Linked DNA regions of Rhinolophus ferrumequinum. The protein of the gene in region 2 purifies or fractionates together with the protein of the main gene of each other region. This does not show direct contact. Links are inferred from orthologs where the notes say so. Each region holds a gene or a part of one and is shown on either strand. Other genes may lie near its edges.

Region 1 (15,211 bases), on a different chromosome or scaffold from region 2:
GTCACAGAGACAGGCTCGGAAATAAGCGCCACGATGGTTCCACAAGCACATTCCACTAAGTGTCCGAGCAAAGGCACTGCAGGCGCCTACCGCAGCCTGGTCCACGATGGGTACCATTTCCTGGGCTGAGGACACGTCACCCAGGACCCTGTGTGGACAAGCACAGCAGACCCACGGCTGCCACGGGAAAGCCACTAGACACGCGACTGTGCACACGGCAGCCCCAAATGTCAACCGGGTCGATGTCGGGGACCCTGAACTGGAGTGACCCCTGCCCCCCAAGCACCCCATCCCTGCCACAACGCGTGTTCTGACTTGGGCTCTGGGAACTTGGCAACTGCCCCCAGCCATCCTGGCCATTCCTCCTCCCAAAGAGTGACACCGCTAGGGCTGGGACGGCAGGAGGGGTCTGAGAGCCTCCCAGGAGGACACAGGCGAATGGAGCAGGTGCCAGGGAGGGCGGCCCAACAGGGTGGCGAGTGCTGTCTCCTGGCAGCCACCCCTCACAGCAGCTGCTTCATGACATGGGGCGGGGCGCAGGAGAGTGGCATTTACACAACCCCCTAAGCCCAGGAAAGCTTTTCCAGTGCAAGCCCAGGAGAAAGACTGCGACCACTTTTGGCTTTTCAAAGCCAGCCCTGATGAATCACTGCCATCTACATCCCGCATGCTAAGAAACCCAATCCGTTTAAGGTGACGTTTCCCGGGCCCGTAATACCGGTCACGACTAAATGCGAAAATGCCAGTGTCTCAGCCTGTCCTGCAGAGTCAGTGAGAGAGCAGGAGCACGGAGCCACCTGCCTGGGCAGGCACCGCGGGAGAGGAGGAGACCTGCTCACTGCTGGAGCTGGTTTTTATTTCCTGGAAACGGGTACACTGTCAGAAAGGAGAACTGGACAGGCACTCCTCGTACCTCAAGCACATGGCCCAAGGTTCAAGCATCCTCACCCAGGGAAGACAGCAAGGTCAGTCTTCTCTGAGGGCATGAGTGTCAGCTGGAGAGCAGACTCGAGGTACCAATGTCCTCAACAGACATGGAAACAGCGGAGCGTGCCTCTCAGACCTGCCTCGTGGCACCCACCGGGAGGGGGTGCTGGTGGACGACCCTCCTGGCAGTCTGGAGGCAAGGCCTCATGACCACAGTGGTGGACCGAGGGTCCCCAGGAGCAACATGGATGTCCTCAGGGAGAAGGTGACATCTCGTCACAGCGGCAGACGAGGCCAATGCCTCCTTCGGTCCTATGATCCGTGTTCAGGTGCCGCTGTGGCCTGGGCACAGAAGAGGGGTCTGAGAGGCCCCTGTGGTGGCAGGTTTCAACTTTAGTTGCTGATCATGGAGAAGGGATCCCAAGGGAAGCTGGGGGTGGGGGGGGCTCTCAGGGTCTCAAGAGAATGGCAATTACTTAACAAGCGTCACAGCAGGGCTTCACTGTTTCCGTCTGTACGGCTGCACAGGTGTATCTCCATCTGGGCATCTGCCGGCTTTATGTCAGCGTCATCCATGCAAACACACATCCCAGAACAGGGTTCACAAGACAGGGGGTGCGGGGCAGGCTCAGCCGGGTAGGGCTGCTTTCCCATCCCATGAATTCTGCTGGGCCGGCTAGGAGGCTTCATTCTCGGGTTTTCCCAGGAATACCTTCCCCTTCCCGGGATCCTGGCCAGAAGCTCCATCAGCTCTCGCATGTGCCTATGCCTGGGTCTATGCTCCAGCAGTCCCGCCACCTGCTTCCACAAAGCCAACTGCCTCTGGCTCTGTGTGAACTTAGACCACACAGCACCGCCTGCTCTGAAAGCAGCCCTATCAGGCCGCCATCCTTCTCCCCAAATGTCTGAGAAACGCAAATGGCAGCGATAGGAAATTATGTGCACACCTAAGTCACCCCCAGCTGCAGCCATTTCCCTGACCACCTTCCAAACACCTGTGCGCCGATCCACAGGACCCAGCCCCCTCCAGGAGTGCTTCCTGGGCCGCCCCACCCCACCCCGAGGTCTGCTGGGGCAGCTGCCCCGGGCTGCCCCCAGTCCCCGCTGGGAACAGCCGCTTCCTTCTCATTTCGCTAGAGGGTTAAGGGAAGAGCTCATTATTTCGCACTGTTTATCAGTCACAATCTGTTTCCATTACGTCTGAGAACCGGGGGGGGGGGGGGGGGGGGGGGGGTCAGCCACAACATAACTCCAGAATAGGAAACTTTGTTTTCTTTAGAGAAAAGTTTATGTTACAGCGCCTGTTTGTCTTCCCCCCCCCACCCCAACCTCAAAGTCTCACTTCCAATGGAAATTCTTTAAACTCCAAACTGATTACAGGTGGCGGGGTGTGCTGTGCGTCCCCCCTCGCATCCCCACAGGCACGCTCACAGATCTGCTGACGCCCAGCGAAGCGCGTGGCAGCCGCGTGTCCAACCTCAAACCAAGCACACTGGAGCGATGACAGCCGTCCCCCTCAGGCCAGGAGAAGCCAGGCTGCAGGGGTGAGGGGAGCCCAGCACCCCGCTGGGGAGCAGAGCAGCCTCCTCACCACAGGAAAGCTCCATAGGGACGCGTCCACAGTGACACTCAGGCTGTTTACACACCAAAGGAAGGTGTGTCCTCAGCACACTTTCCTGCTGGCTGCCCACTGACCCTACAGCTGGGAACAAGAGAACTGGCATGGGGTCTGGACCACTTCCCAAAAAAGGCAGTCCTTTGCGTCATCCCAGGTTCCCAGTACAAGCCCAAATGAACCAACCAAATCCTGGAGGAATGGAGCGGGGGTTAAAGAAGAGAAATGCATCAACAATTTTCCAGAAGACACACAAGATTCCTGGTTCACTGGATTTTCAAATGTATATTCAGGCTTTTCTTTTTCTGTCTCCCTCCCCATACCATTTATTCAGCACCAACTATTTGCCAGAACCTGCTAATGGCATTTAGTGCTCGGCCACACGGTAAAAATGATTATCCCCACTGTAAAGATGAGGCAAGTGAGAGTCAGAGAGGTTCCGTAAATCAGCAAAAGTCACTAAGCACAAAGGAGAAAATCACTCACTCGGTGCCCATAAATGGATCTGTGCCATTCCCATTCATTTGAATGTCCACTACCCAGTTCAGAGAACATTACTGGTTCTCTATGATCAACCAAATTAAGGACCAAGAAGTTGGTTTGGCATTTGAAGCCGTCTACAACTTAGTCCCAAACTCCTCCTCTAATTTTACACCCTAATGTACCATGCTCCAGCCAGTTAGGCCCCGACCATTCTAAGAGGAATCCCTCCACATACCCGCAATGTCTACTACAAGGTCACGCCCAGAGTCCTCCCACCCTGGGACATTCCCCTCCCACACCCCCAGGAAGGCTGCTGGAAAGTGAACAGGCTGCCTCGGCCCTGGGTCATGTCCTCTAGCTAATGCTTCCTCTGACCTCCTAAGGACGCAGGGAACACAGACAGGGGCTTAGGCCAGACACACTTTCAGTAGAGATCATTTTTCACATGCTGGAAAACCCTTCTGTTTCCATCCTTAAACAGCCCACTTCACCCAGAGGCAGGTACATTTTCAACAGAAATCCCTTCCTCCCTTCTGGGGCTCCAGCCACTGCCAACATACCAAGGCCCAGGGGAGCCGTACCATAATTAAATTCTAAAGCATTTAAGATGCTCAAAGGAAAGGCATCCTTGAAGTGCAAATCATCAATTTACTGGAGAAAGAGCAAAATGTGGGGAGTGAAGGGCTCTATACAAACGTAAATGAAATAGAACTGTAAACAACTTGATGCATAATTGATTGACCACACCCCCTGAACCTGGCATTGAGTCCAGTTCTGCAGCAAAGCCCGGGCTGGTCTTCAGCACCCACTTCTGTTTACTTTATTAAATCTGCAGTCTGGGTTTTGCCAAATGGAGAATAACAGTTCTGAGATGAGTTATTTAACAGGCAGAGCACACAGCAACAAACGGGGCTGGGGTGCTGAAGCAGCAGAAATATTAGACAGATAATCCCCCAAAGCCTAATACTGAAGGCTGGTGCCTGTGAAAAATGTCAGGGTGCAGAGAAATCAACTAAATATGGGCTTAGAGCCTTGACTTGACTAGTAGGAAACACGAGAAGAAATGGAAGTCCACTTACATCTGAAACACTTGAGCGAGTATTTAAATTCGGCCCGAACCTGCACCCCATTATCTGTTTATGTCCCTACTTTACAAGCTAAGAATAACTACATATTTCCTTTTATCATGAGGACAAAGTAAATTCGAAAAGACTTTCTAGTCTCTAAATCCATGGAAACAACTCAGGAGGAAGAAAGACTACCCGGGTTCACAACCTTGATCAGAAAACTCAGGACAGCACAGTTCTATTTGCCGTCCAGAAAGTCTTAGCACTTTCCCTTTGCAGCAGGGTCCACTGCAGGAAGTTAATGAGTCTTCTTACTGCAATTTCAAAAGTGACTGCATTACACACCTCTTCCTCAACCCACAAATCACTAAACCATTCTAAGGGCCAGGATTAAATGTTATGGTTCGTTGACAGAAAGAATAGAATCCCAAATCACCAATCATTGTATAACCATTCCTTTCCCACACTTTTTTTTTCAACATGGTCTCTGTCCCTTCTATGGCCACCAGGCCACAAGGAGTTCTTGGACTTTTTTTTTTTTTTTTACCTAAGGGTCACACATCGAAGACCCCTCAAACACCGTCCACCAGCTGAAGCCCACCCACCAGAGGGAGTCCAGCTTCTGCAGATGCTAAGGCTACACTGTGGCTGTTTCTAATCACATGTGAAAGTGGCAAGCCAAGGAAAGACATACCAAGCACGGCTTACCCATTTGGTTTTCTTTTGCATGAAAGGCAGAAAGCTTTGCCAGGTCTCACCAGCACACCAGGCTATGCAGACCCACCTTACCGGGAAGCAGTTTTAAAATAATTCCAGTTTAACATGCCCCCAGTTTTCACTATGGCAGCAGCTGCTCTGCTTCCCCTGGGTATACTGGCTCTTTATCAGTCAAGAATAAACGGAGACTTCGTGTACACATACAACAGTTCCTTGCATTAAAAAAAGAAGAAACAGGGCTAAGAGTACACTGTCAGCTCCGACCCAAGCCAGGCCAATTCAGCACAGGGAAAAACTATTTTCATTTCTGCCCCCCCCCCCATAAAGTAAACCTGTGAAGCTTACCAAGAACCAAATAAGGCACCTACCTCTCTACCTAATACCTTCATCTGAGAATGAAGAATGAAGGAAGCAAGGAAGGAAATCTCTAAAGCAGCCGAACTCCACGCTGACATTCACAGGTCTTGAGGCTAGAGTCTGATCATGCCCAGTCCCACCCGTTTGTCTTGTTCCAGGATACCGTTGCCTGGTTCTAGCCCAACCCGTGGTCCACCTCCATTAACTCAGAATTTCCTGGGTTTGCGGTGACAGTAAACGTCAGAGGAATTGGGTTACAGGATTTTGGAAAAGATAACGTTGCTTTGTCAGCCTATGAACCACCAAACACCACAAACAGCGCGAGGCGACATGTGCACAGCCCAGAGTCCTCCCGACCCAGCAGGCGCACGGCCCAGGACTGGGCTGCCTGGCTTCCCTCCGTTTCCTGCCGAAGCGCCGGGTAGTCCAGGGCGCCGTACATGGTCCCCACGGCCTAATCACTCGGCCCTTGGGGCCTGTCGAAAACACAGTCGTAGTAGAGGGGCTGTGCCCGCGTAACGGGGGAGTGGGGCCGGTGAATGCCAGCGCAGGAGGCCGCGTCCGGCGTGCGCGGGAGAGCCGGGGCCGAGTCCGGCAGAGTGTAAGCGGGGGCCGGGAGGGGAAGGTCGGGGACGTGGCCGGCCTCCCTCCGGGCGCAGAGGCGCGCTGGCCTCCGCTTACTCCGGCCCAGGGGAGCCCGTTTCGTTAGGCACGGAACTGGCTGCGCCTCTTCCCCACGCGGGGTGACACGGGGGAAAGAGGGTAGGACCTGCAACGGCTTGTATCAAAGAGCTAAAAAGAAACTTGGACGCCTCTCTCCTACTGTACATGACACGCTGGAAAGGCGGCTGCCTCTCTCCCCTTCCTCCCCACCCCCTTTTGTGTTTCCCAACATGCGCACCCCTAAACTTCCCACCGTAGGGGATGGGGCTCCGGCGGCCGGACAAGACTCAAATTATGTGGAGCAGAGAGGGGATGTCTACGGAGGAGAACGGAGGCGACAAGAAAGGCGTCCGCGGTCCCCAGCCCTGCGGGGTTGCGCCGGCGGGCCCTCTCCCGAGCCCGGCGAGCGCGGAGGGGCCGGTGCGCCCGCTGCCCCGGGGACTCGGCGGGAGGCTCGGGCGGGGAGCTCTTCGGGGCCCCGCGGCCACGTCCGACTGAGGAGCCGGGGTGCGTCGGCGCCGGGAGGGCCAGGCGCGGGGGCGGCGGGAGCGGGGTTCGGGGGGCCGGGCCGCGGGCGGGCGCCCACTCACCTTCCTGCCGGCGCCGCCGCCCGCGCCGGCGGCCAGCGCGGAGCCGCCGCCGGAATACATGTAGTAGGCGATGCCCAGCACCCACAGGAAGGCGAAACACAGCAGCATCCGCGAGCGCCGCCGCATCCTCCCCACTCGGCCGCCGGCCGCGGCGCCGCTGCTCGCGAGTGCTGCCTGGGCCGGCGCGGGGCGGAGGAAGGGGAAGGGCGGGCGCGGCTCCGGCTCCTCCTCCCGCGCGGGCTCCCGCTCGCCCGGCGGGGGCGGCGCGCACTCGGCGCCGAGCTCCGCCCCAGGCCGGGAGCGCCGCGCGGCGCCCGAGCAGGAAGCGGCGGCCAGGGGGTCAGGGAGCAAAGGGCGACCAATCGGCGGGCGGCGGGGCGCGGGCGCGGGCGGAGGAGGGGAATCACCGCGTCTCCAGGGCGGCAGCAGCCGGCCGCCCCGCCCCCTCGCGTCCTCGCGCCGCGCCCCGCCGCCCCAGTGAGTGACAGGTGGCTGCCGGGACCCGAGAGGAGCGCGCACGCACGTGCACACGCAGGAGGGACACTTGGTCCCTGCTGCCTCGCGCTGCCCTGCGGACACGATCTCGTCAATCCCCGGTCTTCGTGACCACCTCAGACCCTTAGCAGGCTCCATCTTACGGACCCACTGACCCTCCTGGATCTGACTCAGCTGCTGCTCGCTGCAGCTTTCTTTCTAATTTTGCAGCAAAACATCCTGATCCCAGGTGTCAATTTCTTCAGTTAGGCAGAGGTGGGGGCCTAGAGCTAGAAACGGAGAGGTCGTCTTCAAGGGAACATTTTTCTGGGGATGAACACAGCGCTTAACAGCAGGGTTTTTTTGTTTTGTTTTAAGTAAATTTGAAATGAGGAAGAAGGAAAACAATATACATTTTTAAATCTTTTAAATTGGTTGCTTTCTTAAAAGAAGAAAGTTAGCACACTCAACATCTTCAAAGATGCAAGAAGACAGATCTGTCTTGGAACAGAATACATAACCTTGATGGTGCCCTTCTAACCGCAGTTTCCAGTGTTCCTAGAAAAGAAAGAAATGTTACTTGCACTTGATATTTTAAAAGTGATTTCAGGAGCTTCCCAGTCTAGAGGTTAATGACAGCTGCCTGAATCTGAACCTCTACTCATATCCGCAACAAAACACAAACACAAGCTAACAAGCCTTCAGCGTCACTAGCAGAGGGAATTGACATGAACTGAACTTGAAATTACTTAAGTAGAAGAAAGAAAAGACATCAAATTCCAACAGAGCTCTCTCCACTGTTGCCAAGGACGTAAGTGAAGCCCAGGCTTAAATCCCTCCATGCAGAGAAAGTCCAACAACAAGAACTAAAAACTGAACACCAGTCTGGTACTTGATTGACAAAGGGAAGAGGTTTCAAAGAAAATGGGACAGGAGGTGGCAGCCTTGAAGAAGCCTTGCTTCTGGGAAAAGTCAGCGACACAGAGAAAAGGTAATGCCCTTTGGAGGCCTGGCGGTGAAGGGAATGAAGGAAGTAAGAGGGAAAATTAAAGATCCTGCAGAAATAAAAGACGGTGGATCCTTCCCCCAGCCACTGTTATCTATTAAAAACTGCACTTCTGCATACAGATAGAACGTTTTTGAACCAGGAACCCTGTGCCAAAATTCCTGGTAACAGAAAAGCAAATTCAACAGCACTGCAAAAAGAAAACAGAAAATCACATTTCTTATGATGAGAAACTGAATCATAACATTTCAGCTGATGAAATCCCCCCCGTAAAACTGTGAAGCAGAAGAAAAGCAGTTTGACACCACATATCAGAATGAACAAAGTATCATGTATTTGGATACACATCCATAGATACACATCTATGCAACTAGAATCTGAAATTCAAAAACCAAGAACAGACTGGACAAACATTAGGAAGAAATGCAACAAAAGTTGGTCAAATTCAGGAAAGAAATTAAAAATAAAGACAAAACTATCCCAGAAATACAGAATGATTACAAGGTGCCCAAAGGAGAATATATTCAAATATAAATATGTAAAAGGGTCCTGAAGAATGGCAATAAGTTAATCTAGAAATTGAAAATAAGATAATGAAGTAAAAAGGTTCAAAATAAGTGATTTAAATGAAAGTCAAAAAAGAAGAACCAAAATACCTATAACTGGAGTTCCTAACGTTAAACACCAAAGAGTGAGACAGAATTATAATCCAGATGTAATGTATAACATGATGACTATCGTTAACACTGCTGTGTGGTATGTTTGAAAGTTAAGAGCGTAGATTCTAAGAGTTCTCGTCACAAAGAAAAAAATATTTTTTTAAAACTACACATTGATATGAGATAACTAAATCTACTGTGGTGATCATTTCACAATATGTTAGTCAGGTCACTATGCTGTGCACCTTTAATTTAGACAGTGCTGTATGTCAATTACATCTCAATAAAATTGAAATAGCTATAATCCCATAAAATAATCCAAAAATAAGAGAAAATTCAAATTACTTATCGAAAATAACTTCCACATAGCTTGGGAAACTGGTCTGGGAGAATCAACTTCAAAATATATATGTTAGCAAAACTACTAGGTTTTTAAAGACAAAAAGATCAAATTACTTACTGAGATGAAATGTTAGGTTGACATCAGACTTCTTAACAGGATACAAAGCAAGGCAGCAGTGGGGAAGCATTTACAAGAAACTCAGAGAAAGTACCAGCCAAGGGCTTTTTTGTCCACACTTCAAGGATCAAAGTTATAGACAAACAGATGTGAACTGAGAGCAAAAATTCAGAGAACGTCACATTCCTTTCCTGGAGAATGAGCTTCCCCAACCAAGAGATAACTGAGGAAACCAGCAAAGTGACTGAGCGAGAGTACTCATACATTTAATTGGTGGAAGAACAGTATACACATACTTTCTGGGAAGGTGGAACAAGTGTGACTACAGACAATTGAGGGAGAGAGAGAGAGAAAAGGGAAAACAGAATTGTTAAATACAGCGTTTCCCCGAAAATAAGTCCTAGCTGGACCATCGGCTCTAATGCGTCTTTTGGAGCAAAAATTAAGACCTGGTATATATTATATTATATTATATTATATTATATTATATTATATTATATTATATTATATTATGTATAACATATATATATTATATTATATTATACTATATTATATTATACCCGGTCTTATATAAGACCAGGTATTATATCATATCATATCATATAAGATCCGGTCTTATATTATAGTAAAATAAGACCAGGTCTTATATTAATTTTTGCTCCAAAAGACGCATCAGAGCTGATGGTCCAGCTAGGTCTTATTTTGGGGGAAACATGATAGATAATATGTGGGAGTCAGAGGAGATCATAGAAAAGGGAGAGACCAGAAATTTAAAGGTTAAAAATTAAAGGGATTAAGGATAATATAAAAATATAAAAAAATGACACTAAAGCAAAGTATAAATGTTCCAAAATATTGGAAACCCTATTTCAAAACCCAAAAAGAAAAATGTTACAAATTGCAAAGAATAAACATCAAATAGTGTAAGGAACACAGTAAGTAGAGCATAATACGTGCAGTGATTGTAACAGAAAATAATATGACAGAGGTGAGACCAAACCATGTCAGTATATCAACTTATAAATGTCTCTATTTGCCTATTAAGAGATTTTCAAATTTGGCAGAAAAGGAAACCCAACTCTAAAAAAGCAGGAGCTGTGATCCTGATATCAAACAAAGTAGAACGGGCCAAAGAGCATTAAATGAGACGAAGAAGGACAATTTATAGCCAAAACTTCAACTCCCAGTGAGGGTACATCAATTGTACCCCAGGATGTGCTCAGAGGAGTAAAACCATATTAATGATCTGGAATAAGGACTGTATGATAGAGTTTAAACTTTGTACGATGTTGGAGGTAGAAAAAAAATTCAATGGGAGTCTATTTCCATTGTGCATAACAGCAGGTCTGAAGTCAGTATACTTTGCAGACCTGGAAAAAGGATGTGATGTGGGGAAGTGCAAAAACAAAAAACAGGCCTCATGACAACTGAAGTCCATGAGGGAAAACTGGAATCTACCCCAACATTGATTATGGGGGGGAAAAAACAACAAAAAAACACAATCAGATGTCACTTGACACCCATTTGTGCGGCTGTTATTAAATATATATAACAAATGTTGAAGAGGACGTGGAGAAATTAGAACCCTTGTGTGTTGCTGGTGGGAATGTAAATGGTACAGCCACTGTAGAAAACAGTATGGCTGTTCCTCAAAAAGTTAGACATAGATTTACTGTATGACCCATCAACTCCCCTCTGAGTGTACCCCCAGAGCTGAAAGCGAGGACTCGGATGATGTGTGTACTCCTATGTTCATAATACCATTATTCACAGTAGCCAAAGGTGGAAGTAACACCGTGTCCATCAGTGGATGGATGGATGAACTAAATTATGTTCCATCCAAACAGTGGAACATTACTCAGCTTTAAAAAGGAAGCATATTCTGGCACAGGCTACAACATGGGTGAGACCTGAGCACGTGATGCTGCATGAAATAAGCCAGTCACAGCAGGACAAACACTGTATGACACCACTGATGGGAGGCATCTGGAGTCGTCACATTCACAGAGACAGAGGCGAAGGCTGGGTGCCAGGGGAGGAGAAATGGGGGCTGTTTCACTGGTACAGAGCTGCAGTTTGGGAAGATGCAAAGTTCTGGAGACGATGGTGGGATGGCTGCAGAACAACATGAATGCTCTTACTGCCACTGAACTGTCCACTCAAAAATGGCTCAAATGGCAAATTGTATGTTTATGTATATTTTACCACAATAGAAAAGGCATAGCAAATAGGAAGAAATTATTTCCACACATGTCATACATAAAGGGGGTAATATCTCTAATATGTAAAGAACTTAAACATTGAGATGGGCAAAACACAAACAGACAATTCATAGTAAAGAGTTTAGGAGTACATAAACATGAAAAGCCGTTCAACTTCACTCATAATAGAGTTGCAAATTAAAACTAGAGAGATACTATGTATTCCCCCTCCCCCACCCCAACAAATTGGCAAAAATGCAAAAGTTTGACAAAGCGCTCTGTTGGTAGGACTATGCAAAATAATAAAGAAGACTTTTGTGAATAGATATGGAGTGGTTTCCAGGATATGTTATTAAATGAAAAAAGCACAGTGCAATAGAGTACTGTTGTGTAAGAAAGAAGGGAAAAGAAGAAAACATACAGCTATCTGTTTATTTTGTCAACACACATACTAACATGGACACATCCACAATAAAGATAAACCAGAAAACAATGAAATTGGCTACGTGTAAGGGCAGGAGGAAAAGTCGAAGGGAAAGAAGGAGCCCCCCTTCTCTGAGAATACCCTTTTCCCAGGTTTGACTTTTAGAAACATGCTGATGTTCTACATATTCAAAAAGTAAAACAGAAATGGTGAGGGGGTGGGGAATAAAAATGAAACCTGAGCAGAAATGAATCTGACTATATTGCAAATGAATGACATAACCACACTAGAAGGGGGGAAAGAATGAAGTCATAACTTAAACAAAGTGCTTGACTTTATACCATCAGCCTCGAGAATAAAAGGAGCTGCACACAATGTTTGAACTCTTTATGGTTTTTTTCATAGTGTTACGAGTGTAGTAGTTAAACATTTTCTGCATATTGTGTGATAGAGCAAATCAGAAAATGTATTGTTTGGGGGTCTAGGGTTTTCACTGTGGAAGAAGGGAAGTACAGTGTGGAATGAGGGAAGGCAGGACACTTCCTCTGGAGTAGATCTGGACCTAGAGATCAGAGTACAGACTCGTTATTTCCATGTGCATACATATGAAATACCTATGCTCACCTTGTGTGCACATGGAAACCCATCCTCACACATGTTCCATATACGTGTCTGTACACATTTCCCAGGTCTGTCCACTGAATGACACCCTCGTATCGTGAGCACAGCTTACAACCAGGTCTCGGATTCTAAGTACCATTTTGCACTATAAGAAGTTTCCTTGGAGAAATGATTGATTCTTAGAATCAATGACAACATCTTGTTGTAATAGAAAGTAAGGAAGGGCAAAAAAACTGGAGGGGGATGTTAAAAGGTCACAGGAGCCAGCTTGAAGGGCCCTCACTGGTGAAATCTAGGACATGTGTACATCAAAATGAATTTTGAATACAGTAGGAATCTGTGAGCACATGCTGGTAATAAATAAATAAATGGCAGACATGGGCTCTGTCTTTCAGCTGAATGCCAACTGACAAACGTGAAGAGCAGGGTGAAGTTGAAAATCAGCATTTGGTAACCGTGTCACAGTAAAGATTGATGGAGAAGACTCACCAGGAGATACTACTGTGTGGGGGTGGAAATGGGGGTGGGGACAGGGGAGTTTGAGGACAAGAGGATATGTACAAGGTCTTCAAATATCTTTCAGCAGAATACCTATGAGTTGCAGAGGGAACTTGGTAACTGTGTAGTGGGGAAACTAGACACGACCTTGGCCAGGTAACCAAAATTGATGTCCCTCAAGAAGATTGGAAGGATGCCCTCTCTGCAGACATGCCTGGGAATGCCGCAGCATCAGTGCCTCAGTACCCAGCCAAGGAAACGTAACCTGCATCTAATCATAGATAAATATTGGGAAACAAAATGAGGAACATTCGGTATAGTAGCTGGTTTGTATTCTTCAGAAATGTCACAATTATGACAGACAGGAGAAGTTGAGGAACGGTTCCAGATGGGTGGACTAAATTCAGTGCATGATTCTAAAAATGCTGCGGAGGACACGAGTGTGACAATTAACACAGCTGACTACGGCTACAGATTGGTAATGGTGTAGTGTGCTTGCTGTTGTGACTGCAGCATACAGCGTAGTGTGACATGGTCTCATTTTGGTTATTGGGTTATGAATACACAGCAGATTCTTGTTCATAGGGAACATGAACTGAAATTCAAAGGTTAAAGGGGCACAAGTCACGCGAACTACTCAAAAGTTGAGAAAAAATATATAGGCAGAAGATAATAAAACAAATGTAATAGAAGATTTAAAAATGGTGAGGTTGGATAAAAAGCGTATTATTTTTTCAACCTTCCTGAAGTTTGATATTATTTTCTTTAAGACGTGATTTAACTTCCAGTGTGGTAGACCCTGATTACTAATTTCACTTTGCAGGTTAGGAAAGAAGCAAAAACCTGAGCTCACTCAGCTAAGGCTGCTCGTCCCGACCTCTGAGCTCCCCCGTACCCGGTTCCCTGGGCAGCGGCTTGCACAGAAGGCCCCCTTCCCATTTCCTTTCCCAGCTCCGCACACTTGGAGCAGATGGGCACGGCTCCGTATTTTTACCAGCTGAGTGGCGTGCTCTGCACCGCGTTGACGTGCCCTTGCCTCAGCCCCAGTTCTGCCATTTATCTAGGTGATGTGTCCATGCTGGAGCCCTGAGGGCTGTTCCCTTAGCTGTTAGGCATGATGGACCGCTGCTATGTGCCGCAGCAAACACATCCGTGTGCTCAGGAGTTTCTGCTGCCAGGTGACTGGGCCAGTTACTGCTGTCAGAGACATCACTTTGACGATACTTTGTGTCTCTATACGAAAGAACCTTTTTTATTATCTGATGGTATAATATCCCTTTTTCTAAAATATTTCAATGGCGGTAAAATCCCAATTAGGAGAGAAAAGAAAAACAAAATTATAACTGCTTAAATGGGACCAAAATATTAAACACTGAAATTGGATCATCAGAACTCCTTTTTCCCCAAAAAATACAGAGGCTATGGTAAAAAGAAGACATTGAGGGACGCTGCCCAGGGCCTCCTGCGGGCTGGTTTCCATGGGGTCACACGACACTGAAGCAGAACCGTTCTGTCCGCTGTGAGTCCCCGTACCTTGCCTCAGAAGTGCCCTTCTTAGTGACATAGGCTCAAAACTGCCACAGCCAGTGGATACATGTGTTGACCACCTGCGACAATCTTCCTGGAAATCTCCTGACTTGAATTGTGACTGAGAAATAATTCATCAATGTGATTGAGGTTAAAGAACTCAATCGCCCTGAAAATGTAAGATTAATGATGTGTTTACTATATGCCGGCCGCTGCCCGAGTGCTGTTCGTGTTTTTTCTACACGATTATTATTAATCCTCACAACAGCCTGATGAGGTAAGTGCCACTAACACTCCAGTTTTACAGCGAGGCACAGCAGCTTACATTACTCGCCCAAGGCAGCTCCGAGCAGCAGAGCCTGGGAAGGTGAGTGGCCAGGAAACACTGGGTCGGCCACATGGCGGGCTCAGCAGTGGTCCCTTGGAGGGAGAGGACTGGGGCCTGACCAAACAGCCCGACGGAGACCTCAGGGTGCTGGGGACCTTCTGGCTCGTGATCCGGGTGCTGGTTACATGACACGTTGAGTATAAAAAAGTTCAATGGGTTGTATGTACACATTTGACATATGCACTTTATATGTACAAGTTATATACTTCAATAAAGCAAATCGGGAGGGGTGAAGAGCTGCTGACTCCCTGGCAGTCTCTGTAAAGGTTCGGGGAGACTCGCCCCCACCCATCAGCCTCTGTCTGAAGCCCATCCTGCCAGAAATTGATGGTCCAGGAAGATCCACACAGTTTCGGGTTTGTGAACACGGACCTAATCACCCCATATCAGGCGAGAGTCGAGCCATTAAGGACTGTGAGCAGGTCTCAGGGGCTGCTCCCACTCCTGACCCCTGCTTTTCATCCTCTTGGATCATTCTGCCCGGGGCTTCACCCCAGCCTCTCTTGGTCCAGCGCAACAGTCTCTGTCATTCTG
Region 2 (15,260 bases):
TCTAAACTGGGATATTTAGGATAAATTCACACGTGGAATTAGCAGAGTTGAGAGTCCGTCTTGGCTATGGATATACAGTTAAGTTAAACCTGAAACTCTCCTCCCAGGATCCTTACTTAAGCAAGGCCATGCCAAACACAACATTCCCAGCAAGAGTTTTCAGAAAACAGACGGCAGAACTACAAGGTCTGGTGTGTAGCACGCTCGCCTCCCTGTTCAAACTTTTATCACACATGCAGCATTATGTATCAAGTTACCCTGTAAAAGCGGGGGACAGGCTTCCTTTTTTATTTAAATGACAGGAAATGGAAAAGAAAGTGAGAATTTTAGAGGTTTAGAATTCCATCACCAAATATTTCATTAAGAGCCATCATGGGAAAAGAAATGTCAAAATACATGCCTAGCTAGTTGTCAGGTCCTTCAAAGTTGTCTTATCCTTTCAAGACAGATTAGCCTTCCACTCCCCCAGAGTCCAGAAATGGACTCTTTAAATAATTTTCAGTAACCTAGCAGGAAAACAAGCTCCTTCCTCTATTAACATCCATGGCTGAAGCATAGATTCCTCCAAATAGAAATCACCCTTCATCCTAAAGTTGGGGGCAGGAACGGAAGCACACAGCTATCTAGAGAGGGGTGCCTCATGGCTCCCCATACTTCATTGCTTGTCCCCACCCCACCCCCAGCCAGCTCAGATGCCTCGGCCAGCTCACCCTCCCACCCAAGCTCTAGGAAAACATGCTTCAAATAGTCTATCTTCAAAATGACAACTATCCAGAAGACAAGCTTTCCTTTGGTGTGAGAGATTTCCTTCAGTGCAATTTCCAAAGTGAAACAAATTCTGTATCCCTTCAGTATAAGAAACGATACTTCTCAAAGGCTCAAATGTGGAGCTATGTGGATTTCACAATACTTATGTGTTCACTTGATGCCAACCCTCTTGGTTCCCAAAACCAACCTTTCTTTCCGCTCTCCTCTCTATGAGCAAAATCCATCAATAATGGACAGCAACCAGTAGCCAGAAAGAGCTATGTGAGACCTCAGTTAAGTCACATCCAGATGTCCTGAACAAAGAAAATGTCTCCTTTGCAAGAAGAAATTGAACTGAAGTACCTAAGGAGTGTCACTAGGCAGACAGTACCAACGGCATCCCACAAGTAGCCTGGGTTTCTCGGGAAGACCAGAGACATCAGATACTGACTGCACTGTTTTGCTCAGGTTCCAAAATTCATGACTGGCATTGTTAAGAGCTATTAAAGTAGAATGGAAAGAGCCAATCACAGTGGGGGAGTTAGGAAGGTACATTGGGAAAACTTGAGCTGGGCTGTGAAGAAACAGATTTGGGGAAGTAAGGGAAAGAGAAGAGAGAAGCCATCTAACCCAAGAACAACCGTGGGAAGCCAGGGAATGGAGGACACAGCAAGCACAAAAACCCCCAGAGGCCTAGACGGGCACCCAACAAGAGGGGCCTCTGGTCTGGCGAGGACGCAGAGAAAGGCAGCAGGTGGCCGTCTGCAGTCCCAAATACTAAAGAGTCTATACACTTGATTCTCCACGCCATGCGAGATACACACAGAAGCTTCACATCAGGGTGAGCAGTTTAAAAAGACCAATCTATCTCTTTATGCCACAAGAAAAGATGGACAGGAGAAGAACCAATTAAGGTGGCTCCTGAAAAAAGAAAATAAAATCCAGGAGAGGTGAAATGGGTGGGTGTGGGACAAGGGAGAAGGGAAATGGAAAGAATGATTGTGGCTGGAGATATTTTAAAAAATGGATAGGACTTCTGTGACAGGTAAAAATGGTAAAATTTGGTAGTTTGGAGAGGATTAAAAAAATTAGGCAGTTGAAAGGGGCAGCTTAATTGGTACAAGAGAGAAATTCAGTTTTTATGGCAATAGGACAACCAAGCCAAAATATTCAGCATGCAGCAGGATGGGTCTCTTTGGGAACCAGGCCAAGAATTAAGAGCCGGGAGTCACTAACTCAGAGGATGAAGGAAGGATGGATGCACTTCTGAGGAGACAAAGGAACAGGGAGACCTGTGTTTGAGGGCCCTCAACCTCACCAGCACAGGATAAGGCAAAGGAGTTCTTAGATGCCTGGACGGCCTTCAGGGAAACCAAAAGGGGAATTTCTATTTGAATGGTCAATAGTGTCCAATTCTATCAAGGTCAAGATTCCGTTTTGAGAACAAGTCATTGGATTTGGTGATCTGAACCTTTGGATAAACATTTAGTAGAGACACAAAAACCAATGTGAGTTTGTAAGGGTTACGAAGAGAAAGAGTGCTAAGGTAATGGAAACAATACTTACTGGAGAAGTGGAACAGTAGAATGAATAACAAATAGGATGAATGGGTGTGGGGTAAATCTGGGCAAGTGTAAAGTTGGAGGAAAGGTGCTACGTAATAGGCAGAAATGGAAAGCATTAGAGGAGGAAAGGTAGGGAAAGGGAAGACAGAAGGGGAATAAAATAACCATGGTCATAGGGAATGCTAGAAGAGCCTGATAAAAGATTCCTCAGATTGGAGGACAGTATTATAAGACTGGTGCACAAGTAGAGAAAATGATGCCAACAAGAGCATTCATTCGTTCTTTATCTCCACAAATAGCTACCTGCAAAAATGAAAATCTCCAAGCCATGAGCTGTTTTAAGCAAGGTGGAAGATAATATGACAAACAGGACGGCCCCTTCTTTAGACTTACTTCTCTTACAGCACAGAATCCATCACATGCTCCTCACTTCCCACACCCTTTGTATTTCCCTGAGATCAGTTATTCTATTTGTTTTTTCTTTGCAGAAACAACTCTGTTTAGGCTCTCTCTAATAGAATAGCATGACCAGAACAGATTTCAATAAAACTTCAAACAGCGTGATTCAAAACATTACCCTCAGTTACCGTTCGAAAAAAATGCAGACCAATAGCAAAACCTTCCCAGATGTTTTCTTGCATAAAGCCATGAACTTACCCAGTTATGACAGTGAGTGTGGAGAACAGTGTTTCAATCATCATAACTGTATTTTTAATAATCTGTGATGGGAATAGTAGCTTTACTCCCAAAATCCCCACATTCAGTTTTATACTCAGTACAACCAAATGGAAGTTGATTCACTTTGTCTTAAGTAATAGGAAAATATCAGAAAAACGTAAAGAACTTCTACTAGACAGGTTGGACTTGTAGGCAGTAAAGCACTTTTTTTAAAGCTGCTGTTTTGGTTTGCTGCTGAAGCCTTTAAAGAAAATTGTGTCCTAAGTAGCCCTTTGCCCATCAGCATTCACCTTCTACATCTTTTGTAGGGTACATCCCCCCAAAGTAAGATGCCTTGGAAGAAAAGCACCTCAACCTGCAGTTTTCTCCTCGGTTTGCAAAAATAAATAGTGGCGAGTGCAATGCTATTTTCAAGGGGTGACTTTACTACAGAGCCAAGGTCCAAGGGAGGGTGGTCAGCAGCTTGCCTAGGACTGGGGTCTCCGTTTGGTCAAAGCTGGGTTCCCACATGCTGGGTTCTACTCACACTTAGAGCGGGAAAGGATGAGACACCAGCGTAAACACCAGGAACACAGGAGTACAAGGTCACCAAAGTGCAGGTGCAAAAACCAAAGCAACACCCCCGCCTCTGGCAGCCCGGACTTGTCATAAACCCGAGAGGGTGTCTCTTAGGTCACAGTACTTTTCTCTTCATTTCTCTTGATTTAGAAACAAATCAGCAGGGAGGACAAGGTTCTCAAAAACAGAAAAATCAAATCTGAAAAGAGAGGAACACAATCCAATGGTAATGTTCATCTTTTTGGAGAGGAATATACCTCACTGCTATGATTACAAAGGGAAAAAAAGGCCTTATGGGAGTTGCAGCTCAGAATTAAGACAAATTGACCCTCCACCATACAAACAGCAATTGATACAATAAAAGCACGTAAAATTTTAAAAGTTAGGTAGAAAGATACACACTTCCTGGAGGGACCCAGAACCCTGGCTTCTGCTTCGTGCCATGATTTGTTGTTTTGAATTGTTTACATGAGTATTTTTTTTAACCAGAAAAATATTATAATGAAGGGGAACGGAAATCCTTGAAGTCAATTACCTGGGACGGCACTAGGCCAGGGCTATAATGGGAAGGTGACGTACAAGTGGGCTAGTTAGCAAAGAGGTTCTGAGCTAAGTGGCTTATTCTGTAACTGGTCTGAGCTGTACATGTGAACTCTGCTCCCTGTAGAAAGTCTGGGAACAACTCAGTTGGGCCACCAGCAACTCTTTACCAACGCCCTCGCTGTTGCTACATGAAGGGAAAGAAAGGGTGTGAGCTGGCAGCAAAGCAGTGGGAGTGCCTCCGGGGAGCGCGTGCCTCAGCTCCTGCTGCTGTGGGCTGGGAGGGCTTTGCTTCCACGCAAAGGCTGCACTCAGGAAATCTAGTCCGCAGTGCTTAGCAGGGCTGACCTGGGAAGTTGGAGGCCTGTATATTTCTGGATTTGTTTATAGGGAGTGTCGTCTAGTGCTTTGCTCCCTGAAGTGTGGTTCCAGCAGCAACTGGCATCACCTGGGAACTTCCTAGAAATGTAGAAGCATAGGTTCCACTCCATACCCAGTGAATCAGATTTTGCTTTCTGTCACAATGCCTATGAAAATTTGTGACGTGCTGGTATAGTACAAAAAGCACAAGACAGGAGCCTAGGGAGTTGCCATTAGGCCTTGATTTTGCCACCAATTTGAGGTGGGAACTTAGGGGGAAGAAGAATCATGATGTTTCCGGGCCAGAGTTTGCTCATCTGTCAAGGGAGGGAGCTGTTGTCGAGCAGCTGAAGGTCTGTTCAGTTCTAACACTGCAGACATGGATACGTGGGTGTCTCTACTTTGGGGTCTGAAAAGGCCAGGGTGCTGGTAGTAGTACCCCCAGAACCAGCTGCTGCTGCCACGCCAATGCAAGCCACTGCTGGGCCCATCTAAAACTGTACATCCCTCCCCTGAGCCTGGATCTTCCTCCCTTACCTTCTGGTCCAAACGCTGGTAGTCACTGGCCTTTGGCCGCCGAGGGAGTTTGGATTTTTTTCCTTCCAGGACAAAAGCAATAATCTGGGGAACGGCAAAAGAAAATGATTAACAAGTGATTCTATACTGACATACTTCAGTCTCGGAAATCAGAGATAATCACCTGATAGTACGTTTGTTAATAACCCTAACAGTACAAAGAGCAGTACACTCTGAAGAGGCCTATTTAAATTAGAACGATTTTAAGGAGGACAGGGCCTAGTTGCATTAGAATCCCTTATACTGCTAAACAGAAAATGAGAGATGGAGGAAGGCTGTTCTGGGCTCTAGTTTGTGGGAGTCTCTGGATTTGCTCAAGAGTACTCAGCCAAAGATGGGCCGACTCCTCCCTAGAGAGTTCCTTAAATCATAAGCAATTATTATTTCTTTTCTGCAAATGTACTCTTTCACCCCACACTTTGCTTCACCTTAACCACACCACTCTCATTTCATGCCTAAGGTTACTCTCCATGTTGGATGTAGAATAAGGAACACACCGTTTTAACTTAACGTCTTTTGTGTTTCCTAACAGCCACAGGCTTTATGACCATCATGAATTGAACTCTCCAATTCGAATCAGGCTACAAAAACTGCTAAATTCTTAGAGCTCAACAAGAACTGCAGTCCCTTTATCATTGGAATGATTGCTAAGCGACACAGATGTTACTTCACACCAAACCCTGCTAAGAAGTGAAAGATGAATGTATCCATGCAATTTCTGATCTTTCTTCTAATCAGAAGTTCAACTGACTGCAGAAGATAGTCCCTGGGCTCTCTGCTACGCATGTCGAAGATTATGTAACGATTCTTTCTGCTACTGCAGATAGAAGATAAAAGCTTAGCAAAGAAGCAAGAAATGATTCACTCTTGAGAGTGGAAACAGGAAGATAAATGCTCTAACTACTTCTTCTGAGGCTGTGAAGGATCTAAGTTCAAGATTATGGGAGAATATCCCAATTCAGGTCAGACTGTAATAATGTCCTAATTGGCACTTAATGCAGCAGCAGAGGGCACTCAGAGGAAACAGACATGAAAACAAATGACTTAGAAAACAGGAGTAGAGCCCTAGCAGGGTCTGGAAAAAAATTTGTCTTAAAATCCCGTGTTCACAGGCAGATCAGTGATGGATACTGGCCCATATACCAAGCTTTCAGGCTAACCCATTTCTCTGAAGGCATTTCTTGACTTACCTTCCGCTTGTTGTGATAGGCAATATAGAGGACAGCAACGAGAATGGCAGCAGTCACCAGGTATGCAAAGAAGTGGCTGCTTTCTGCACTCGCACTTCCAAGGCTGTCCTTATAAAGGTCAGCCTTCTTCCCGCTCATGGAATCCAAAAGTGTCCCTTCTTTCTCTTCTTTGGGTGGAGAACCTTCTGTATCACCTTTCTCAGCCTCCTTTGGCTCCACATCTTTAGCAGGTTTTGAAGACTTATCTTCTCCCTCCTGCGGGGGAGAAGTGGAGTCAGAGTCCAGTAATACTCTTTCCCCAGATTCAGATTTGGAAGCATGCAGAGAGGTCTCTCCTTTGTCAGCTAGTATGCTTAAGTCAGGGTTGGTAAGCTTGTTATTAGAGGATGGGTTGGACACAGGATTGTTGGAGTTGTCTTTCGTGGACTGGGTGTCCTGTTCCGACTTGCCAGAATTATCTTTCGTGGACTGGGATTCCTGATCCGACTTGCCAGAATTATCTTTCGTGGACTGGGATTCCTGATCCGACTTGCCAGAATTATCTTTCGTGGACTGGGATTCCTGATCCGACTTGCCAGAATTATCTTTCGTGGACTTAGGGTCATGACTGGACTGGGGGTGCTGATCTGATTTGCCAGAATTATCTTTTGTGGACTGGGGGTCCTGATTCGACTTGCCAGAATCGTCCTTCGAGGACTGGGGGTCCTGATTCGACTTGCCAGAATCGTCTTTCTTGGACAGGGGGTCCTGAGTTGACTTGCCAGAATCGTCTTTCGTGGACAGGGGGTCCTGAGTCGACTTGCCAGAATCGTCTTTCTTGGACAGGGGGTCCTGAGTCGACTTGCCAGAATCGTCTTTCGTGGACAGGGGGTCCTGAGTCGACTTGCCAGAATCGTCTTTCGTGGACAGGGGGTCCTGAGTCGACTTGCCAGAATCGTCTTTCGTGGACTGGGGGTCCTGATTCGACTTGCCAGAATCGTCTTTCGTGGAATGGGGGTCTTGATTTGACTTGCCAGAATCGTCTTTTGGGGAATGGGGGTCTTGATTTGACTTGCTTGAACTGTCTCCTGTGACCTGGCGATTCAAACTCAACGAGGCAAATTCCTCTTTGATGGATTGGGTTTCCAGAGCAGATGTGTGGACATCCTTTTCAGACAGGTGGCTCGAGGGGGGCTGATTGGAATCTTTTTCTGGAATCTCTCCTTTCTCCCGACTGAGCAGTTTTTCGGTGGCTGACAGGGCAGAAACGGGCAGCGCGGCGCCTGAAAGAGAGAAACCAATTGGCTCTGAAGAGAGGCAGGTCGGGGAAAAAGGAACCCTCAGAGCTATAAGAGACCCGGGCAACAGGCAAACGGTGGGGCTGGGAGGGGGGGGTGATGCCGACTGGAGGGGTGAGTCGGGCAGGGAAGCAAGCTCAGATGGCGACCGGCCACGGTGAGGATCGTGGACCTGCCTGTGGGGCTAGTGTCAGATTTTTGGGGGTCGGTGGGGGGGGGGGGTCTTACCCGCCGCTACGACGCTCAGCAGGACCAACGCAACCAGGAACCGCATCCTGAACAAACTGTACTTCCGCTACCGCTCTCGCGAGATCTGCGCACGGACTCAGTATTCATAGCCCCGCCCTTTCCTGTGCGCGTCCCCTCAGCTCCGCCAGGACGAGGGGAGCCGCCTGCGGAAGGGTCGGGGAGGTTCGTAGTTCCACTATTTTCCCTTTGGGTGTATCCACCTTTTTTCTTTGCTCCATAGCATCCTTAGCAGACCGTCACTCCCCGTTTCCTTCTTCCCCCTGGTACGTCCGAGACAATACAGCTGAGCAGGTGCTCCTCCCTGGCAGTGGACGGTCCCACGGGAGTGACGTCCCTGGGGCCCGGCGCCTCTGCGCCCCATGCTCTGCTCGCATTTTTGAATCTCCCCTTTTCGTGGTTATTTCACCGCAGCATACAGACGGGCTGTGCTTAGGTCTCCCATCGAAACAGAACCCATTCTGTCACCTTTGTAGCGGGAGCCTTCGAATCACCGCTCCACTCTCCCAACACCACGGAAACTGTACTCTCGAAGTTGCCAAAGAGTTTTCCTAAAGAATACATCCTTTTTCTGATCATGAAAGCTATTCATATCCACAGTAGAAAATTTGGTGAATGTATGGAGGTAGAAAACAAAATCTTTGTCCCACTCTTCCGGGATAATCACTATTAATGTTAGTGTTTTCTGTCTTGCAAACATTTAACATTTTTGGTTAGGTAATACGTTCTAATGGTTCAAAAATCCCAATGGGTTTTTTTAAAAAGTACACATTGCAAAGTTCTTGTCCCCTACCCCCCACAGGTTATCACTTGCATTATTGTTTCCATCTAGTGTTTTTCTTTTTTAAAAAACAGATACATACGTACTTATTTTTCCCTTAATATATATATTATTGGTCTTTTTTCAATGCATTTTCATTTTCTCCCAAATTGGAATCATTGGGTAAATAGTTTTGTATCCCACTGTTTAAAATTACTGTTGGGTTTATACATTAATTGTTGCTTGAAGTTGTTTTATGAACATTGGCCAGGCTAAGTGCTTTGTAGACTGATTTAAAAAATGATAGGCCCTAACTTAATGGAACATGTAGTCTAGTGGGACACAAAAATATTAATCAAATATTTACACAACTGTGTATGTGTTCCAAGAACTGCCAAGAAACAAAAGTATAGAAACTCTGCACTCTGTTGAGAAAGGACCTTTGAGCTGAGGACCAAAGAATGTAGGTGTTTTCCAGGTGAAGTTGAAGGGAGGAGGAGGAGGAGTTTTCCTGGCTGAGTGTACAGGCTGTGCAAAGACCGGGAGGCAGGTGGGAACCTGGTATTTTGTGTAAGTCTAAAGATGACGATAAGAATGTCAGATAACAGAACAAGAAAACTGGCAGGGGATGCGGAGGGGCAGAGCCAGATTAAAAAGAAATGATCTAGGAGTTGTTAAGAACATAAATCTTTGTGGGACACAAAAGTACATCAGAAAATATGCCAGTTACCTCAGGCTGAAATGTAATCCAACCCAAAAGGACTACAGCCGCCAGGAGCAATCACACTTCTCTGTAGTCGGTTAAGTACAGTATTTGGGTTACATTGCATCCAGATTTACTAGTAGGTTGAAATCCTGAAGACCGTTCATGGCATAAATATAGTTTTCAGGAACAAGAACTTTTGTTATTTAAAAACCTTTAATATGCTTGTCAGTGTTTCTCTGTTGTAAGAAAATCTCTCTCACACATACGCTCATTACTGAGGAGAGAACAAGGATCAGAAAGAAGTGAGAAATCTTTTACCAAATTATTTCAGATGCTTTTACTAAAGAAAGTGAACCATGACTCTGCTTTTACTAAAGAAAGTGAATTGGTAAATGAATCTGTATTTAAAAGAAAAGTCTCTCCAAGTTCCATAAATAAATATTTGACTAACATTAAAGAATAGTGGTTCAGTGGAGATATGTATAGGGAGAGGAATGGCAAATTATTAAGCCTGATCTTGTTTCCACAATACTAGACAGAGGAGAGGAAAGAAGGGTCCAAATCTTGCAGTTTGTGGGCCATGTCCAGGGTTTTATATTTTATCTTAATAGTAATGAGAAGCCTTCAAGGAGGTTTAAGTAGGGAAAGATATAATCAGAGTTGGAAAATTTTGAAGATTAATCTGGTTGCAGGGTAAAGAATCTCTAGGGATGGGGAGAGAAGAGTGGATTTAGGAGTTTCTCGGCAGACTTGTAGTAGTCCAAGTAGTCCAATAGGGACAGTGAGACTGGAGGGAAGTGGTAGGACTCAATAAATTTGGGAGGTAATACCAACAGGCCTTGGAGATGGATTGGATATGGGAGGGAGGGGTGATGGAGAGGAAGGTGTGGAGAACCAGATTTGATGGGGGCAGTCCATAGAAAATGGATTTGCTTCTGGTTGTGTGTTTAAGATGCCTGTGAGACAGTCAAGTAGAGATGTCAGGGAGGTAGCTGGAAATGTGAGCATGGAGTCCAAAGGCAAAATATGGGAACTTTTTTCCTAACTAATTTAAATATTGTTCAAAAAATACAATTGTTAATGGTTTCATAAAAAGTAGTTTATGAGTTTATTATAATTTTTGTGACAGTTCCCTTATTATTGGAAATCTGGATTATTTTCCATTTCCTACTGTTAGTAACAATTATTTTGGTACATTTTAAGATGAGACAGATCCTCAGAAAGATTCAGCAACTTGCTTAAGGTTGTGCTATTATTTTACTCAACCTTTGATAGCAGTGTGTATTCTTAATCTGCCAGTTTGATAGGAGAAAAATAATCCCTGTTTTCCTTGAATATTTATTGCACAAGTAATTTACATGAATTTGGGCAATATACTTAATTGATTTAAGTACCAATTTCTTCACTATGAAATGGGAATAAGTATTGAGAATTAGATAATTCATAGAGTATTTAACACAGTAGCATATAATTAAAGCTCCCAAAAGTTATTGTAATTTTATGTTCATAATACAAAAATTAAAAACAAGGATAAGCCAAAGTAAGAAAATGAAAATATCCTGTAATCCACAGCTATTATCATGAATATTTTGTTAGTTCTCCCTTTTATATAGGCGTCTATGTGCATATGATAGCTTACTAACTGAAACTAAAGCAAGTTATAAAACCATACATACAATTCTTATCTTGCAGACCTTTTTTGTAGCTTTACTGCTAAAACTAGTCATGTCACTTGTCTTCTGGTACACTATCGTCTCCTTGTCTCCTTATTGAACCTACTTTGAGGAATCCCAGTTGTCTTAGAACTGAGTGTTTGTAGAAGGAAAGTGAAATCAACACTATCAAATACAGCACGGAGTTGAAGTAAGATAAGGACTTAGAATTACAATTTCAGTAGAATGGTGAGAGCAAAACCTGGTTGCTGTTGGGTAAGTAGTGAGTGGGAGGTAAGTAGAAACTACCTTTTCTGGAAGTATGGATGTAAAACAGAGGGTTTCTAATATGGGAGAGGATTGAACGTTTTTATTGACTGAGGGAAAGAACTCATTAGACAGAGTGACCAAGATTACAAGACAGTAGTGGTGGAACAAGATACCAAGAGATGAAGGGCTGGGGTCCAGGAGCAGTAGAGCAGTTGACCTTGGGTTGAACCAGGGATTGACTTTGAGATCTGTGGAAAGGCAGTTAGAATGGTCAGAGGGTGGGTGGGTATTTAGGTAGGGGTGTGGGAGAGCAACATAGAGCATTTCAGCTGGCCTCAGTTTTCTTGATATTCTAAGAGGCAAGGCAGTCTTTGAGAGTGAGAAGGTGGGGATTAAATTGGGGTGTTGAGAATGGTGAAGACAAGAGTTGAGGGCACTAGAAGAGGGAGCTGATAAAGGACAAGTGCAGTAACTGAGTGGTATTGAAGGCCTCTCTGATCTTAGGCACCACAGATCTGGAACGGCACTATTTCAGTCGTGTGGTTTTTCTCCAGGCAGTGCTTCTACCAGGGTGGGAGAGGAGTAGAGAAGGCAAATTTTAGCACTAACTCCTGACTCACACCAATTTTGGTTTAAGGGAGTGGCAGCAGGTAACTTTAATAAATCTTAAAATTTCCTTGCACCCCTTCATGATAAAAACACTCAACAAACTAGGAAAAGAAAGGAACGTCCTCAACCTGAAAGACGGCATGTCCAAAAACCTTACAACTAATGTTATACTTAATGACAAGGCTGTATGCTTTCCCTATAAGATAAGGAATAATGATGTCTGCTCTCACCACTTGTATTCAACTTTGTACTGGAAGTCATCAGGACACTTAAAAGCAAGAAAATGAAATAAAGACATCAAATTAGAAAGGAAGAAGTAAAACTATATTTGCAGATGACATGGTCTCGTATATAGAAAATCCTGAACATTTTCTAAAAATTTATCAGAACAAGTTCAGCAAGGTTGTAAGATGTGAGGTCAATATACAAAAATCAATTGTATTTCTATGCATTTGCAGTGGACAGTCTAAAAAGGAAGTAATTCCATTTACAATAGTATCAAAAGAATAAGATCCTTAGGAATAAATTTTACAAAAGAAGTACAAAACTGATACTCTGAAAGCAAAACATTATTGAAAGAAAATAAAGAAGTCCTAAATAAATGAAAAAGACATCCCATGTTCATGAATTGGTAGGCAATTTTGATAAATGGCTATGCTCCCCAAATTGATCTACGAACACCATCCCTATTAAATTCCCAACTGGTTTCTTTGCAAAAATTGACAAACTGATCTTAAAATTCATATAGAAATGCAAAAGAGTCAGAATAGCCAAAACAGTTTTGAAAAAGAACAGTTGGAGGACTCACACTTCCCAATTAAAAACTTGCTACAAAAAGCTACAGTAATTAGGACAGTGTGGTACTGGCGTAAAGGTACATAGAGGAATGGAATAGAATTGATAGTCCAGAAATAAGCCTCTACATTTGTGGTCAGTTAATTTTCCACAAGGGTTCCAAGCTAGTTCAATGGGGGAAAGAATAGTGTTTTCAACAAATGGTGCTGGGACAACTGGCTAATAAGCATATGAGAAGATGCTCGACATCATGAGTTAGGTAAGTGTAAATCAAAATCACAGTGAGATACCACTTCACACCTACTATGATGGCTATAATAATGAAAAAAAAACGAGAAAATAACGTGTTGGTGAGGATGTCGAGAAATTGGCACCCCCACACATTGCTGGCTGGAATACACATGTTGTAGCTGCTATGGAAATGTTTGGCAATTCCTCAAAATATTAAACAGTTACTGTATGACCCAGCAATTCCACTCCTAGGTGTTTATACCTCAAAGAACTGAAGACAGGGACTCAAACATTATACTTTTATGTGAATCTTCATAGCAGCATTATTCACCACAGCCACAATGTGGAAAACAACCAATGCATCCATCAATAGATGAATGGATAAACAAAATGTGGTACATACGTACAACGGCTATAAAAAGGAATGACATTCTGATACACACTACAACCTTATACTAAGTGAAATAAGTATAATATTGTATGATTCTATTTATATGTGGTACCTAGAAAAAACTCATAACGATACAAAGTGGATTAAAAGTCCCTACGGTCTGGGGGGAGGAAGGAATGAGGGGGTTACCGCTTAGTGGGCAGTTTGTTTGGGATGGGATGAAATAATCCAGTGGTTACGGTTGCGTGATGTTGTAAATGTACTTAGTACCACTCAATTGTCCACTTAAAATGGTGAATTTTATATGTATTTACCACGATTTAAAAAAAGCTGTATATCTGAGTAAAAAAACCTAGCAAATACTGATAAAAAGGAAGTCTAAATTATTTTATCAAAACTTAAAAAATCTGATACATGCTACAACATGGATGAACCTTGAAAACATTGTTATGTTAAATAAGCCAGGCACAAAAGGACAAATATTTTATGATTCCAGTTACATGAAATATTTAGAGTAGGCAGATTCATCGAAACAGAAAGTAGATTAGAGGTCCCGGGCTGGGGGCAGGGAGAATGAGGGTTATTGCTTAATAGTTATAGAGATTCTATTTGGGGTGATGAAAAGTTTTGGAAATCATTCGTGGTGATGGTTGCACAACACTGTGACTGTAATTCATGCCACTGAGTTGTACACTTTAAAATGGCAAATTTAATGTCATGTATATTAACCATAATTAAAAAAGAATGAAGTACTGATACATGCTACAACATGGATGAATCTTGAAAATATGCTGGAAGAAGTCAGTAAGAAAGGACCAAATATTGTATTATCCCATTAAAATGAAATATCCAGAATACACAAATCCAAAGACACAAAGTAGACTAGTGATTGGTTGCCTAGGGTTGGAGGAAATGCAGGGTGACCTCTAAAGGGTATGTATGGGATTTCTTTTTGAGGTGATGAAAATGTAAAATTGACTGTGATGATGGATACACAATTCTGAACACATTAAAAACCATTGAATTATACACTTTAAATGAGTGAATTGTATGAATTATATCTCAATAAAGCTGCTACAAAAATTACTGGATACCATGCAAAGCAGACAAAGGATGCCCGTCACATCTTGGCCATTCTAATAAGACAAATGGAAACAAAAGGCTTCCTCCATTTGGATCTCAGTTATCGATATGGACTGGTCGATGCACATTTGAGGCTGGAAGCTGGGTTGGATTCGTCTAATTGTGTCAGGCACGTTTTATATCCCCCTCCGGTAAGTGCTAATGCTCTTTGCATGTATGCAAAAATCTCTCTAGCACAGGGCTTGGTATGAAGAAGGGGGCTTGATTCAACAAAAGGATTAAAACACTCAGAAAAGGTCTTGCAACTGCAATTTTATTTTCTTTTGTGAAAATAAAGAGCTTATTGGGAGTTTAAATTGCTTCAAAAAACCCATAAAAACAAAAAGAAGTACACACAGAAGCATGTGAGGTGATGGGGGAGGGAGGAGGGTCTTTAGAACTTTGGCAGACTGTGCTGGCACTGACCCAGCTGGCAGGAGCCTTGGAGCAGGTCCTGTCTGCCCCTCTGGGACTGTGAAGGGGAGGTCTTGACTGGTAAGAGGGTGGAACACAGACTTCGTCTCTAAGGAAGTGGCAGGCACCTTGAGTCCTTTTAGATGTGGGGAAGAGCCATTTCAGAGGACCTTTTTCCCCACCAAAAGCTGGAGGCTGGCAGGTTAGGGCCCACTGTGGGAAAGGGGATGCTGGTGGAGATAAACCAGGCAAAGGTGTCTTCTCACATGGCGACAGCCTTACACTGGGCAGAGGACGGAGGAGATGAAGGCAGGAACCCATGAGTTGAGCAAAGGAGAAAAACTTGGGCGAGATAAAAGGAAATGTCCAGGCACAGGATCTAGATGAAGAAGCAACAGGCTAGAAGTTGCAGCAATGGCCATCATGCAGACTGAGTGGGGGAGATGAGACGAGGGAGGGGGGCAGAAAGTAACAGAGGTAGAAAGAAGGGTGTCTTCTGCCCAGGTTCATCCCGCACTGCACAGACAGGAAAAATGACACACTACTTTTCAGTTCTCTTTCTTTTAAGGATTT

The links.
Region 1: the proteins of TGOLN2 (region 2) and GALNT2 purify together in Homo sapiens (affinity purification with mass spectrometry; 3 studies listed by BioGRID and IntAct, counting the BioPlex papers as one, with this or other methods). This does not show direct contact. The link is inferred for Rhinolophus ferrumequinum from reciprocal best matches to the Homo sapiens genes TGOLN2 and GALNT2.

Annotation. Positions count from the first base shown.
Region 1 is NC_046310.1:26,496,858-26,512,068, forward strand, and holds the start of GALNT2 (polypeptide N-acetylgalactosaminyltransferase 2), read right to left. Parts: upstream 6,635-15,211; 5' UTR 6,546-6,634; coding exon 6,420-6,545; intron 1-6,419. UniProt on the Homo sapiens protein: Catalyzes the initial reaction in O-linked oligosaccharide biosynthesis, the transfer of an N-acetyl-D-galactosamine residue to a serine or threonine residue on the protein receptor.
Region 2 is NC_046296.1:8,931,191-8,946,450, forward strand, and holds the start of TGOLN2 (trans-Golgi network integral membrane protein 2), read right to left. Parts: upstream 7,866-15,260; 5' UTR 7,766-7,865; coding exon 7,720-7,765; intron 7,477-7,719; coding exon 6,215-7,476; intron 5,070-6,214; coding exon 4,986-5,069; intron 3,748-4,985; coding exon 3,742-3,747; 3' UTR 1-3,741. UniProt on the Homo sapiens protein: May be involved in regulating membrane traffic to and from trans-Golgi network.